Linked DNA regions of Sus scrofa. The protein of the gene in region 3 purifies or fractionates together with the protein of the main gene of each other region. This does not show direct contact. Links are inferred from orthologs where the notes say so. Each region holds a gene or a part of one and is shown on either strand. Other genes may lie near its edges.

Evidence for each region.
Region 1: the proteins of DCP1A (region 3) and BAG4 purify together in Homo sapiens (affinity purification with mass spectrometry; 4 studies listed by BioGRID and IntAct, counting the BioPlex papers as one, with this or other methods). This does not show direct contact. The link is inferred for Sus scrofa from reciprocal best matches to the Homo sapiens genes DCP1A and BAG4.
Region 2: the proteins of DCP1A (region 3) and PNRC1 purify together in Homo sapiens (affinity purification with mass spectrometry; 3 studies listed by BioGRID and IntAct, with this or other methods). This does not show direct contact. The link is inferred for Sus scrofa from reciprocal best matches to the Homo sapiens genes DCP1A and PNRC1.

What each region holds. Positions count from the first base shown.
Region 1 is NC_010457.5:48,345,830-48,350,414, forward strand, and holds the start of BAG4 (BAG family molecular chaperone regulator 4), read right to left. Parts: upstream 2,982-4,585; 5' UTR 2,677-2,981; coding exon 2,407-2,676; intron 1-2,406. Other genes in the region: U6 snRNA-associated Sm-like protein LSm1, read left to right, coding at 3,220-3,265. UniProt on the Homo sapiens protein: Inhibits the chaperone activity of HSP70/HSC70 by promoting substrate release. Prevents constitutive TNFRSF1A signaling. Negative regulator of PRKN translocation to damaged mitochondria.
Region 2 is NC_010443.5:57,126,523-57,131,080, forward strand, and holds the start of PNRC1 (proline-rich nuclear receptor coactivator 1), read left to right. Parts: upstream 1-1,577; 5' UTR 1,578-1,905; coding exon 1,906-2,445; intron 2,446-4,457; coding exon 4,458-4,558. UniProt on the Homo sapiens protein: Nuclear receptor coactivator. May play a role in signal transduction.
Region 3 is NC_010455.5:35,422,639-35,427,356, forward strand, and holds the start of DCP1A (mRNA-decapping enzyme 1A), read right to left. Parts: upstream 3,208-4,718; 5' UTR 2,571-3,207; coding exon 2,546-2,570; intron 1-2,545. UniProt on the Homo sapiens protein: Necessary for the degradation of mRNAs, both in normal mRNA turnover and in nonsense-mediated mRNA decay. Removes the 7-methyl guanine cap structure from mRNA molecules, yielding a 5'-phosphorylated mRNA fragment and 7m-GDP.

The DNA of each region.
Region 1 (4,585 bases), on a different chromosome or scaffold from region 3:
AGAAGCTCCTTGGTGGTGCACATACTGCTGGTTCAAGAATCAAACTACAGTGCTGCAAGTATAGCTAACAATGTAAGAGAAAGAAAACAGAGATTTTCTCTTTTTCACTCCTGCCATATTTAAATACATTAATATAGAGTCAAGTCTTTGCAGTTATTCACTGCAATATCATCTCAATATATCCAATTCTGTGAAGCAATGCTTCTCAGCCACAAACGTGCATATGAATCACCTGAGGATCTTATTAAACTGGAGCAGCAGGAAGTATGGAGCAGGAGAGATTCTGCATTTCTAACTGCCTCAGATCAACACTGAAGCTTCTGGTACATGGACTACACTTTTTGAAGAGTAAGATGTCTTCCGGGCTCAGAGTGTTAAGAACCTGACTAGTATCTATGAGGATGCAGGTTTGATCCCTAGCCTTGCTCAATGAGTTAAGGATCTGATGTTGCTGTGGCTGTGGTGTAGACTGGCAGCTGAAGCTCAATTTTGACCTCTAGCCTGGGAACTTCCATATGCTGCAAGTGCAGCCATTTGAGAAAAACAAAGAAAGAAATCATCATCCTATACTTTTCAAGTTTCAGAAACATCAACCTGAAAGATAAACTCCTGCAACGGTTGACAAATGCCCAATCACATTCCGGCCGTATTCCTGACCGCTCCAGCATTACCTAGCCTGTGTGCACACCTGTTCTCCCTTTAAACTCCCTGCCCAGTACTAAGATCTTAACTTCTCTAACCTTAACCCAAAAAAAACCTTTGTTTTGACTACACAGCAAGCCCAGGTGGAATCATCAGCTTAGTGGTTCTCTCCTCCTCCCCCACAAGTGAGCCTAGGTCTAGTCTGCATACCTATTAGCCAAGCATTTCCTCACTCTCCTCTGTCGGGACTGAAGTTCCCTCAGGCTGCTTATTCTAGATTCAGATAGAGAAATTATGGGCCTTTCTTTGTAATTAACCTCTCACTACGTTTTTTTTTATGATACAACTTTTTAAAAGAAATAACATGACATCAAACCCAGCCTTTTAAAGTGTACAATTCAATGTTTTTTTTTAATATTCAGAGCTGTGCAATCTTCATTTACAATCTAATTCCAAAATATTTTCATCATCCCCAAAAGAAACCCCATACCCTTTAACTATCTTCCCCAATGTCTCCAGGCCTCCAACCCCTGACAATGACATATATTTGTACAGACTTGCCCATTCTGGATATTTCATATAAATGGAATCACACAATGTTTAATGTTTGTCTTCGTTCATGTAGCATATTTTCAAGGTTCATCCATGTTGTAGAAGGTACTTCATTTCTTCCCATTTCTTCCCATTCATTGTATGAATATGTCAGATTTTATCTATCCATCAGTTGATGGGCATTTGGAATATTTTCCCTTTTGGCTATTATGAATAATGCTACTATGAATCTCACGTGTACAAGTTTATACGTGGACATGTTTTTAGTTCTCTTGGGTGTATAACAAGGAGCAGACTTGCTGAGTAAGATCCCAACAGTATGCTTAACGTTTTGAGGGACTTCCAAACTGTTTTCCAAAGCACTGAACCATTTTATGTTCCCACCAGCAATGTATGGGAATTTCATTATTACATTTTCAACCAATGAGGATGTTACATTTCCTGAAGAAAAGGATAGGAGTGCCCCCACCAGATAACGATTAATTCTCTGCGAAGCATACTGCATAACAAAACAACTGTATTTCCGCACGACTACAAGGAACAAGACATTATAGGTTCAAATATACTGAGTGAGTTAACCCTTCACGGTCAACGGTTCTTTCATCGTAAAACAGAGAAGATGTGATGACATTTACGCGGCAGTCACCCTTAAGATGAAATAAAACAATCCACGGAAAGCTGCTTTCCAACATTGATTATGCGTGATTCAATGTCGGGCAAAGCGTTAAAAGGGCAAAGAGCTAAACGCCCAGATCCCTCCCCTTCCTTCACGTTCCTTCCCAGGGGGAGGGGTTGCTAAGGGACGGAGGGTGCTGCAGCCACCTCCCTTCTTGGGGAGGGCCGACCTGATGAGCCACGCAGGATAAATTGTCAGGACTCGAAAAGCAGACCCGGATCCCTCCAGCCCAACACCGTTCCCAGGCGAGATTCGCAGCCCGCTACTCAGCTCAGCAGGTCAGCGCAGGATCTTTTTCCCCTTTTTCATGCTAAGACATTTACTATGGTTGAAGTAAAAAAGAGGCAAAGAGAAAACAAGCATAGCCCCCACCTACGATCCTAGTTTCTGTCTCTCCACCCCCCCATAAGGAAAACACATGAAACCCAATTCATTACGAACTCTTGGAGGTGTATCAAACCCAATAACCCTCACCTCCAAAGACTCCCCTATTGCCGTCCCCTACCCCACCCCGGGACAGACAGCGCAAAGCTTACCTGGTGGCTTCCTCCAGCTCGACCTGGCTCCGACCAGACGCCTCCAGAGGGATAGTAGCCATCTCCTCCTCCCCCTTCTCCCGGCCAGGTGGTCTCAGCCTGGCCGCCCCCGCGTACCCGCCAAGAAACAGGAGGCTGGGGAGGTTCGGGGCGGGGAGGATATATGGGCGGAGGGGGGTGCACGGGCACATCTCCACCCCCAGGCCCGTAGTAGCGGCCATAAGACGGACCGTCACCGGGGCCGTAGCCCGAGCGCCTCAAGGCCGACATGGGCTCCACTGCCCCCAAGTGCTTCCCGCCCCCCACGGCCGGTCCATTGCGCAGACGCCAGCCGGAGAACGCAAGTGGACCGCAGGGAAGGGGGTCGGCCAGCAACAGCCAATCCCAGGCCGGGTCCCGCCCCCTCGGCCTCAGATTCTTGAGAGTTGAAGGACTGAGGTCGGTGACTCTGGGGTCTAGGAAGCAGGACAGCAAGGGGCGCCACCGTGTACCTTAAAAGGGAGAACGCATTTCCCCACTACGTATCCAATCTAGGTTTCTCTTCCCCTCTTGTCAAGGACGTGGAAAGGGTGCCTCGGGACCTCACTACGGTCCCGCCTCTTCCTGAGCACCGGCACGTGATGCCGGAAGTGGGTGGGAGTAATATGGCGACGTTTCCGGCAGGCCCCGGCGGCTGAAAGCCGGGCCGGAGGTGCTACTCTGGGTCCGGGTTCTTGTCCCGGTGCCGCCGAGGCGGCGACTGCGGTAGGAAGAAGGAAGTGTTGGACGAGTTGGCCCACCACCGCTATACGTTGCGCCTCATTTCAACTCAAAATGAACTATATGCCCGGCACCGCTAGCCTCATCGAGGACATCGACAGTGAGTAGTTCGGCTCCTCCGAGTGAAGTCTGGGGTGAGACTCTTCCTGCCGGGAGGATGCTTTTTGGAGGCAGGTCCTAGAATGAGTCCGGGCCAGGGGGCGGTGTCTTTTTAGTGCTGTTCTGGACGTGCGGCGTTAGCGTCCTTTGCAGGAGGGAGGAGCCTTGTGACACGCTGTTTGCCCGCCTCCTACCTGTATCCTATCTCTTACAGCCTGCACCAGTCCTCCGGCAAGCTGTCGAATCCATTTCTGCTTTTCAGGGATGCGGCTGCTGAGGCCCAAACATGAAAGTTGCCGCCTCCCGGGCCCATCATCTCCCACCTGCGGGATTTCGAGTCCCAGGTGGTTACTGGTGGATGGATGAGAATTCTTAAGGAAGGGATGCATCGAGAAACGAAAATACGAATACAACAGTAATTGGACTTAATTAGCACTAAGCATAGGCTTTATGCTGCGTCGCCTTTTGCAGTCTTCTTTTACCGTTGAGGGTCTTTAGATTTTCAGATTATGATAGTAGAGACTACTGCCAGACAAGGCTTGACTTTTCCAGAAGGACCAAAAACTTGTTTTTTTCTTGTTAGACAGTTTTCTTTGGTTTTTATTTAGACGACCTACCTTATTCCTAGTCACCATCCTGAAGAGAAGTTTAGTCCTCTATAGCTGTCCTGTCTTTTCCAGACTCTCATTCGTGGATTATTCCTCAAGCAAATTTTAATAAATTGTTTCAGTCCTGTGATCTGTCTTGTTTTGCTTTTTAGGGCGGCACCATGGCATGTGGAAGTTCCCAGGCTAGGGGTCGAATCAGAGCTGTAGCTGCTGGCCTATGCGACAGCAACTCTGGGTCCCAGCCACGTCTGTGACCTACACCACAGCTCATCGCACCACCAGATCGTTAACCCACTGATCAAGGATCGAACCTGAGTTTTCATGGATACTAGTTGGTTTCATTACTGCTGAGCCACAATGGGAACTCCGTCTCATTAACTTGTAGTAGTTGCAAAACAGTTTGCATACAGCTCCAAACAAGTTACAACAATCTCTACAGTTACTAAGTATGCAAATTAAAGAATGAGTTTATGATTATATTCTCTATCATCTGAAATTATTTTTAAAATCCAAATTAGTGATTTTGCTATTAAAGGAAAATGTAGTGTAGGTTGGACCAAATTCATATGTGAATAGCCACTGTACAAGCCTATCTGCAATGTATGATAAAGTCTTCAATTTTTGTTGTTTGAAGATGCCCTTTTGCCCTCACCTCTTTTGTTATATATCTGAATTAGTTGAGGCCTTAACACATTCTGCCATTCTACTAAAAA
Region 2 (4,558 bases), on a different chromosome or scaffold from region 3:
TCCGACTAGGAACCATGAGGTTGAGGGTTAAGGATCCAGCATTGCCGTGAGCTATGGTGTAGGTCGCAGATTCGGCTCGGATCTGGCGTTGCTGTGGCTCTGCTGTAGGCCAGCGGCTACAGCTCGGATTAGACCCATAGCCTGGGAACCTCCATATGCCAAGGGAGCGGCCCTAGAAATGACAAAAAAACAAACAAACAAAAAAGTTTATATAAAGTCATTGGGAAGTGTTGTTCTGGACAGTCCCTCTAGCCAACTCTATTATCAATCATAAAACACTTACCAAGCACTATAAAGCTGAAAAAAAAGGCTGGTAGGATACAGAGAAGTTTAATAGTATCCTGTGTTCTAAAAACCCACAATCTAGTGTGGTAGGTAGTACAGATGATGTTAAAGCTAGTCTTTCCAGGGAGTTTCCGCTGTGGTTCATTGGGTTACAAACCCAACTAGTATCCATGAGGATGCATGTTTGATCCCTGACCTCGCACAATGGGTTAAGGATCCAGCTCTGCCCATTATCTGTGGTGTAGGTCACAGATGCCGCTGAGATCCAATATTGCTGTGGCTGTGGTGTGGGCCTGCAGCTGTAGCTCTGACTACTACTAACCTGGGAACTTCTTGTATGCCACAGGTGGGGCCCTAAGAAGCAAAAACAAGCAAACAAAACCACGTTAGTGTTGCCAGACCTGGATTGGAGTTGACTCCGCTATTAGCTTACTGTACGACTTCTGGCAAGTAAAACTTTTGCTTCTCTAAACCTGTTTTCTCTCCTGTAAACTGGTGATAAAATATACAGTACCTATTCCTTAGAGTTAGTTTTGAGATTCAAATGAGGTAATTTAAGTAAAGAACAGTTGGTAGCACATAAGGGCTTGATAAATAGCCACAGTTCTTTTTGTGTCTGAACACAGTGCGGGGAGATGATGAGAGTGGGATTCTCATCAACACAAGAGCTAGCAAAGCATACTGCAATGTTGCAGAGCTGTTTCACTTTCTTCCTTTGAGACACAAGCCTCTTCCTCTGCTTCCTCCTCAGTATTAGGCACTTTTTTGCTGTCCCAAAGTCCCATGGATTTATACAGAACTTACTATACATTAAGCGTCCAATTTCAATGAGTAAGTCACTCCCTTCTTACTCCAACTACCACAGCTATTGAGCAGCGTTTCTCACCCGATTTAAAAAAAAAAAAGTGAGCCACACTTCATCAAATGTAATTTAAACGTGGACTGCTTTTCTTTCCGACTACAAAGAATGAACTCCTGCAATGTACTTTGAAATGTTAAAAAAAAAAAAAAAAAAGCCAATGGTAATAATGCTGTTACATTCGGCTTGAAAATACTACTTCCCCAAGGTCAGTGGCCGAGGAGGCACCCACTGGCCTGACTCTACCGGATTTTTTCACTCCCTGCCTCCCGCCCCTATCCCAACCCCACCCCTAGATTTAGCCGAGCTCTAGTAGTCTGACCAAAGCCTTCAGGGAGAGGCGGGGAGGTGAGAAACGAGAAGAGCGGGGAGGTGGGGCAGGTGCGGCTGAAACGGAACTTCATTGTTCGCGGGACCGACTCTTCCCGAAAGAGCCCGTTGGCAGCGCCTGCGCAGTGCTCGCTCTTTGTGCCCGGCTGCAGCAAGAGGGTTGTTTGTGTGTGTCTCTCGGAGGCGGTGGAGGAGGAGCCGGAGGGGCGTGGCCTTCCAGGTCGCATTCTTATTGGGCTCTCACAGGGAGGTGGGCGGGCACAGGGCGGAGTTTCTGATAACAACACTCCGAGCGGAGGCTGAGGGTATTTGTTGCTGCGCCGCCACCGCCCGAACCATGGTCCGCGCTTCTCACAGGCTTACCTAGCAGCAGCCTTCGCCGCCCTGTGATCTCTGGCCGCACTTCCTTCTTCTACTCCTGCTGAGCCGCTATGACCGTCGTTTCTGTCCCCCAGCGGGAGCCGCTTGTTCTGGGCAGCCGCCTGGCGCCCATGGGCTTTTCCGCCCGCGGTTACTTTGGGGCCCTCCCGATGGTGAGCACGGCTCCGCCGCCTTTACCCCGGATCCCGGACCCCAGGGCGCTGCCCCCCACCCTCTTTCTCCCTCACTTTTTAGGGGGAGACGGTCCCTGTCTGACCCCTCAGCCTCGCGCCCCAGCGCCTCTGCCCAACTGCAGCCTCGCCTCAACGGGGGGCACCCCTCGCGCAGCACCAAAGAAGCGGCGAAAGAAGAAGGTGCGGGCCAGCCCGTCGGGGCAGCTTCCCAGCCGCTTCCACCAGTACCAGCAGCACCGGCCGAGCCTGGAAGGCGTGCGGAGCCCCGCGACGGGCCACAGTGGAGAGCAGCAAGTCCCGGACCAGGCCGCCGCCTGGGCCTCGGCTCCTGCAACCGCAACCCGAACTGAAGAAGCGAGCCTTTTCCTTGGCCCGCGGCCGCCCGCGGCGCCCGGCCAGCCCTCGTTCAGAAGAGAGGTGAGGGCCGCGAGGGGAACGTGGGGACCGTTGGCACTCCGGCCCCAAGACGGCCGGACCCGGGACCGGAGGCTTGGGGCCCTGCGCTGAGTGGCCGGGAAGGAGGGGCCGGGGTGAGGGGCGAGGGCGGCTGTTTACTCGGGAGGGAAGTTTCCGTGACGCCCGCTCTGTTCTTGCTGGGGGGGAGAAGGGGGAGGGGGAGGCCTGCGCTGGCGCTGCTGATTGGCTGCGAGGAGCCGGCCAATGACAAGAGCCGCTGCGCCCCGGCAACAGCCCGGATTTAGAAAGCTGGCGGCGTTCCAGGGGGTTTCGGCGTTCGGGGCGCGAGGGGGAGCGAGACGGCCCGCGGGAGGCTGACGTCAGCGCGCGCTACGTGCGGAGCGCTCCGGCGCTCATGAAGGAGGCGAGCGGGTGAGGGGTGTGGGCCTGCCAGCGGCTTCCCGACAGATGGTATTGCCAAGGCGAGGGGGGACGCGCGTAGACCCTCCCGGCGTGGGGCTCCTTGGGGGCCGCCCGCCCCCGGTTGGTCTTATGCAGAGTTGTGAGGTGCCCCATGGGTGGCGCTGCTCCTCGTCGGGCCGACCTACTTGGCTGTACTTTTCAACTTTGAAAGTTGGCAGGTGCGACGGCAGAGTTGTTCCCTCTTTGAAGCGATCAGTTCTGTGTGCTAGCCTATCAGATGAGCGGAATTTATTTAACCATTCCACTGTGTACTGTACTGGGATTTTTTCAGTGGAAGGTAGTTTTATTACCTGTGTCCAGAACGATGAACTTTTCGAAAGAAAAGTTACCAGTTGAACGGACGTTGTACTGCCCACTTGCTATTAGACTAGAATAAAATTGATTATAATTTACGGTAAGAAATCGCTGAAATGACTTGAAGTAACCTTTAAATTAAAACTTTCATAATAGTGAAAATAAGTTACTGACAGTGGTTGAAGGAATATCGTTCTGAGATTTGCAGCTTATCTAGTTGCGATCTTAGAAAAAACTAAACTTATCCACGGTGATTCCTTAAATTATTATAGGTTCCTTTCAGTTCCAGGGTTTTTCTGAAATATTTGTGATAATCTAAAAGGGAGTTTTTGTACTTGTTTACTAGTTAAGATTTCTTTTTCAGAACAGTGTTAAAACCAGGGAGTTCTGTCAGCACTTACCCTTGTTAACGTGGATGTTACCTTGTGCTTCGCTTTCTGTAGTTGTGTCCTGCTTCCCTACCGCAATATAAGTGTTGAAAGGGCAGTGATCTAATAGATTACCTTATTTTTCCATCCCATCCCCTCATAGCTTCCCATAAGGATCGCTTGAGTTAGAAAAGTCGTTGGAATTAATGCAGTAAAGTTGTTAAAGCAGTTGTTAAATTAGAAAGGAGGGGGCAAGCAGAAACTGTTTTCTTCTATGTATTATGTGTATAACTGGACAAGATGATAAAAGGTGGTATTTTAGTATTTATATTTCCGAAAAAAATTTTTTCAGAAACTGGGAGATAATTTTTGTGTATGTACTTAGTAACCATTATCAAAATACTTCCTCACTAGCTCTTGCTAATCAAATTTTTATTCTGAAATCATCTTTAGTACCGATCTTAAAAGGTGAATTGTGTCTCTATTATAGTTTTTCATCAACCAAAGCATTTGAAAATTTTTCCCTTGGCAACATCCTACTGTAAAAATGCTGATATTTGTTTAGGAAGAGGTCAGCATACATGTTTGAAAGATTACTTCTCTGTATAGAAAGGTGGACTTGGTTACTTTGGGGTTTTTTTGTCTTTAACATTTTAGAATCAGCTCTTACACTGCATACTGGTAACGATGATGAACTATTTTTAGTGGTAAAACTAGATACCTGCATATTTGGACATCCAATGATAAGTGCCACAAGCACATTTAATCAAGACATTGAACTAAAGTCCAGGGGGATTTTTTTAAAGAAAATATATTAGATAAATGGTGAGGTTCATGTCTGATTTTATCATGAGACTATATTCACTTTTATATTCCTTGTCTTTGTAGGTTTTAAAATCAAAGATGGGAAAATCGGAGAAAATTGCCATTCCCCACGGCCAGCTTGTTCATGGTATACACTTGTGTGAACAACCAAAGATAAACAGACA
Region 3 (4,718 bases):
TCTGTGACCTACACCACAGCTCATGGCAACACTAGATCCTTAACCCACTGAGCAAAGCCAGGGATTGAATCCGAGCCCTCATGGATACTAGTTGCATTCATAACCCACTAAGCCACAACAGGACCTCCTCACTTAGATATTTAAAAGAGAAAACGGGGCTTCTAGCTTCAAAACAGACCTTGACATTTTCTCATTGAGGGAATTAACAGATGCATAATTTCTAGTTGTTTTAAACTTTTTTTTTTTTTGGCTTTTGTCTTTTTAGGGCCACACCTGTGGCTTATGGAGGTTCCCAGGCTATGAGTCTAATCGGAGCTGTAGCCACCAGCCTACGCCACAGCCACAGCAGTGCCAGATCTGATCTGCATCTGCAACCTACACTACAGCTCACGGCAATGCCGGATCCTTAACCCATTGAGTGAGGCTAGGGATCAAACCTGCAATCTCATGGTTCCTAGTCAGATTCATTTCCACTGCGCCACGACGGGAACTCCCATTGAATCTTTTGATGCACAAATGTAGTATATCTCTCCATTTATTTAGGTTCTGATTTTTTTAAAATTCAGTATTTTGTAATTTTCAGTACACCTGTACATGTTTTGTTATGTTTACACCTAAGTATTTAATTTTCCCTGTACAATTTATAAACGGTTACTACCTTTAACTTGGGGTTTCCACAGGTTCATTATAAGTATGTATAAGTGTGATTTATTTTTGTGTGTTGATCTTGTATCTCCAGACCTTTCCAAACTCACTTATTAGTTGTAGGAGTTTGTACAGAGACATTCATGTCATCTGTGGACAGAGACAGTTTTATTTCTTCTTTTCCAATCTGTAGGCCTATTCTCTTTTCCCCTTATTACACTGGCTAGAACTTTCAGTGCTATGTTGAATAGCAGTAATGAGAATAGATTTCCTTGCTTTATTTTCAATATTAGAGGGAAAACATTCACCCTTTCCTTTATAATGTGGTAGATATACTGACTGATTTTTAATACTGAACCACCTTTGCAGAGCTGGAATAAAGCCCATTTGTTCATAATTTATATTTCTTTTCTATATATTGTTGGCTTTGCTATTATCTGGTTAAGGATTTTTTTTTAAAGTTCATTAGAGATACTGGTTTGTAGTTTTCTTTTTTGTACTTTCTTGTTTTGAGTATTAAAGTAAACGTTGGTCTTACAGAATAAGTTGAGAAGTGTTTCCCCTTTTCTGTTTTCTGGAAGAAACTGTAAAATTAGCATTAAAGAATCTTTGAATTCTCCAGTAAAATCATCTGGGCCTGGGGATTTCTTTTTCGGAAACTTTAAAATTAGGAATTCAATTTATTTCATGGCAATAGGACTATTTATTTATGTTATCTATTTTATCTTGGTTTTGTAGTTTGTTGTCTTCAAGGAATTGGTCCATTTCTTCTAAATGGTCACGTGTATGAGTGTAAAGTTATTGATAGCATTCTCCTATTACAGAGGATGTGTGGATGATATTGGAGGCAGATATGGTAGGGGCTCCCTGGAGAAAGAGAAACAGGCATGGCTTTCTTGACAGAAGAGAAACAATTTTTGGCCTACGACATTTTGTGATCTAAGCCTGGTCACAATGCTTACCCTTGAACAGGTCCCAGTAATTAATGATCTTAAAGGAACAAAAGAATGCAGAAACAAATTATTATCAGGTAGGAGAAGTAACGATAGCAAAGATAATGTAGCGGTTGTAAAGGCTCCCAGTTCTATTTCAACGGTAAAGACTAGCCTGAAGTGTTCAACCACCAGATCAGCTGGAGTCTAAGGGAGGAGTATGTTGACATTTTCTGGCCCTTATAACTTCAATCAACTAACACTTGGATTCTGTGGACCACCCAAGCTCCTTAATGAATACGCATGTATGCTTAACTTGAAACTCCCTCATCTTTGCTGCTTGGGGAGACCCTGTTTTGTGAAAGATCCCATGTTCCCTATACTTGCTGCAAGTAATAATAAACCCTTCCTTCTCATGATCTTTAGCTTGGTTATGTCTTTTGGCTTGACACAAACTAAGAGGCAAATCTACTTTTCAGGTAACTACATCCACTATTCCACTCCTGATATTGATAATCTATGTCATCTTTTTACTTTTATTAGTCTTTATTAAAGGTTTATCAACTTTATTGACTTTTTCAAATAATCAACTTTTTGTCTCATTCATTTTTCTTTGTTTTCATCGTCTTAATGTCATTGATTTCTGCTCTACTCTTTGTTCTTTCCTTACTTCTGCATGCTTTGAGTTAGTTTATTTTTTTCTTCTTTTTCTAATTTCTTGAGGTGGGAATTTAGTAGGCCCTTAGCCAGTGTTGCTTGAAAGGATGGGAGGAGTTTTCAATGGCTAGGCCACCTGGAGTACCTTCACTGGTGAAGGGAGATAAAGACTGCTTCCTAGGCCAGGTGGTTGTAATGTGGCTCCTTCCCTACACCCACCTCCTTCTCATGAAAAGGAGGGAAAATATTACCTCAGTGGCTATTTATTGTCAGTAAGGTTTAAATCCTTCGTGCAGTCTTGTTGGGCTCACCTGGTACTGCTGGCAGGGCTCCCATTCGATCTAGGAGAGGAACAAGCCTGTATGAGGCACCTTCCTTTGCTATGTTGGAGGTCAAGAAACACTATGCCTGGGTCCCCTTCTTCTGTTGAAGGCTTGTAAGACAAGCTGCTGTTGGGTTGTTCTGTCAGTTCTGGGTCCCGAACCCGATCTTCTTCTTTCTACCTTTTAGAATTTTCCTGATTGTCCTTTTGTTACTTCTGATTTTTAGAATTGTATTTAATAGGGGAGAAGGAAAGACAAATTTATGCCATTTTGTTTGGGTCAGAAGTTCCATTATGTACTTTTATGGATAGAAAACCGAGGCTCATGGAAAGACTGACATTAATAAATTAGAGAAAAATAGTCTTATAACTAGAACCAGAACTCATGTCTTCTCACTCTAAGCCAGTATCCTTCCACTACATACTCAATGCCTCATTAGTTGAAATAACACAAAATATTCTGTAGAAAGTAAAGTAAACAAGTTTCAATTACTCTTGAGGACTAAAACACAAAAAAGAATCAAGCATAAATAATCGAACAAGGTAAAAATTACATTCTAAAAGAATGACAATACAGAAAATACAAATGCTAGCAGAAGAAACTTTAAAAATCCTTTGAGTTCCTGCTGTTGCTCAGTGGGTTAAGAACGTGACTAAGGTCTATGAGGATTTGGGTTCCATCCCTGGTCTTGCTCAGTGGGTTACGGATTCAGCGTTGCCATAAGCTGCAGTGTAGGTTGGCAGCTGCAACTCCAATTCAACCCCTAGCCTGGAAACTTCCATATGCCATGGGTGTGGCCCTAAAAAAAAAAAAAAAAGACCAAAAAAAAAAATTCTTTTTCTATAACTATGATTTGAATTGCATCAATACACATTAACATATACTCACACTACCAATATACATTAATTTAGAAAGCCACCTTTTCATTTTTAAAAGTTTTATAGTAGTTGATCTACAATGTTTTGAAAATTTCTGCTATACAACAAAACAATACAGTTATACATATACATACATCCATTCTTTTCAGATTCTTTTCCCATATAGATTATCACAGAATATTGGGTAGAGTTCACTGTGCTATATAGCAGGTCTCTGTTGGCCAGCTGTTTAATATACCACAGTGTGCATATGTCAATTCCAAACCCCCAGCACATCCCAACTCACCCCACCTGTCCCCTTTGATAACTGTAAGTTTATTTTCAAAGTCTGTGGGTCTGTTTCTGTTCTGCAAATAAGTTCATTTGTATTATTTAAAAATTTTTTAATTTTTATTAATTTTTGCTTTTTAGGGCCACACCCGCAGCATATGGAGGTTCCCAGGCTAGGGGTTGAATCAGAGCTACAACTGCCAGCCTACACCACAGCCACAGCAACGTGGAATCAGAGCCAAGTCTGTGACCTACATCACAGCTCATGGCAATGCCGGATCCTTAATCCACTGAGTGAGGCCAGGGATTGAATCTGCAACTTCATGGTTCCTAGTAGGATTCATTTCCACTGCACCATGATGGGAATTCCTGTATTATTTTTTTTAGATTTCACATATAAGTGATACTATATGATATTTGTCACTGTTAATAAAAGCTTTTTTTTTTTTTAAAAGAAAATTAAGTGACCCCTAGCCTGGGAACCTCCATATGTCACAGTCATGGCCTTAAAAAAGATAAAAAAAAAAAAAAAAAAAAAAAAAAGGAAAGAAAGAAAGAAAGAAAATTAAGGTACAGGAGTTCTCATTGTGGCTCAGTGATAATGAACCCAACCAGTATCCATGAGGATGAGGGTTTGATCCATGGCCCTGCTCATGGATAAGGATCCAGCATTGCTGTGAGCTGTGGTATAGGTCACAGACAAGGCTCGGATCCTCCATTGCTATGGCTAACAACTGCATCTCCGATTTGACCCCTAGCCTGGGAACGTCCATATGCTGCAGATGTGGCCCTAAAAAGCAAAAAAAAAAAAAAAAAGAAAAAAAAGAAAAGAAAAGAAAATTAAGGTACAAATGACATAATATTATATTAGCTTCAGGTGTACAGTCCAACAATTTGATATTTGTATATACTGCAAAATAACCTCAATAAATGCAGTTAACATCCATCACCACGCACAGGTATAAAATTTTTTTTTCTTGTGATGGGAACTTTAAAAAAAATTTCAAATCATA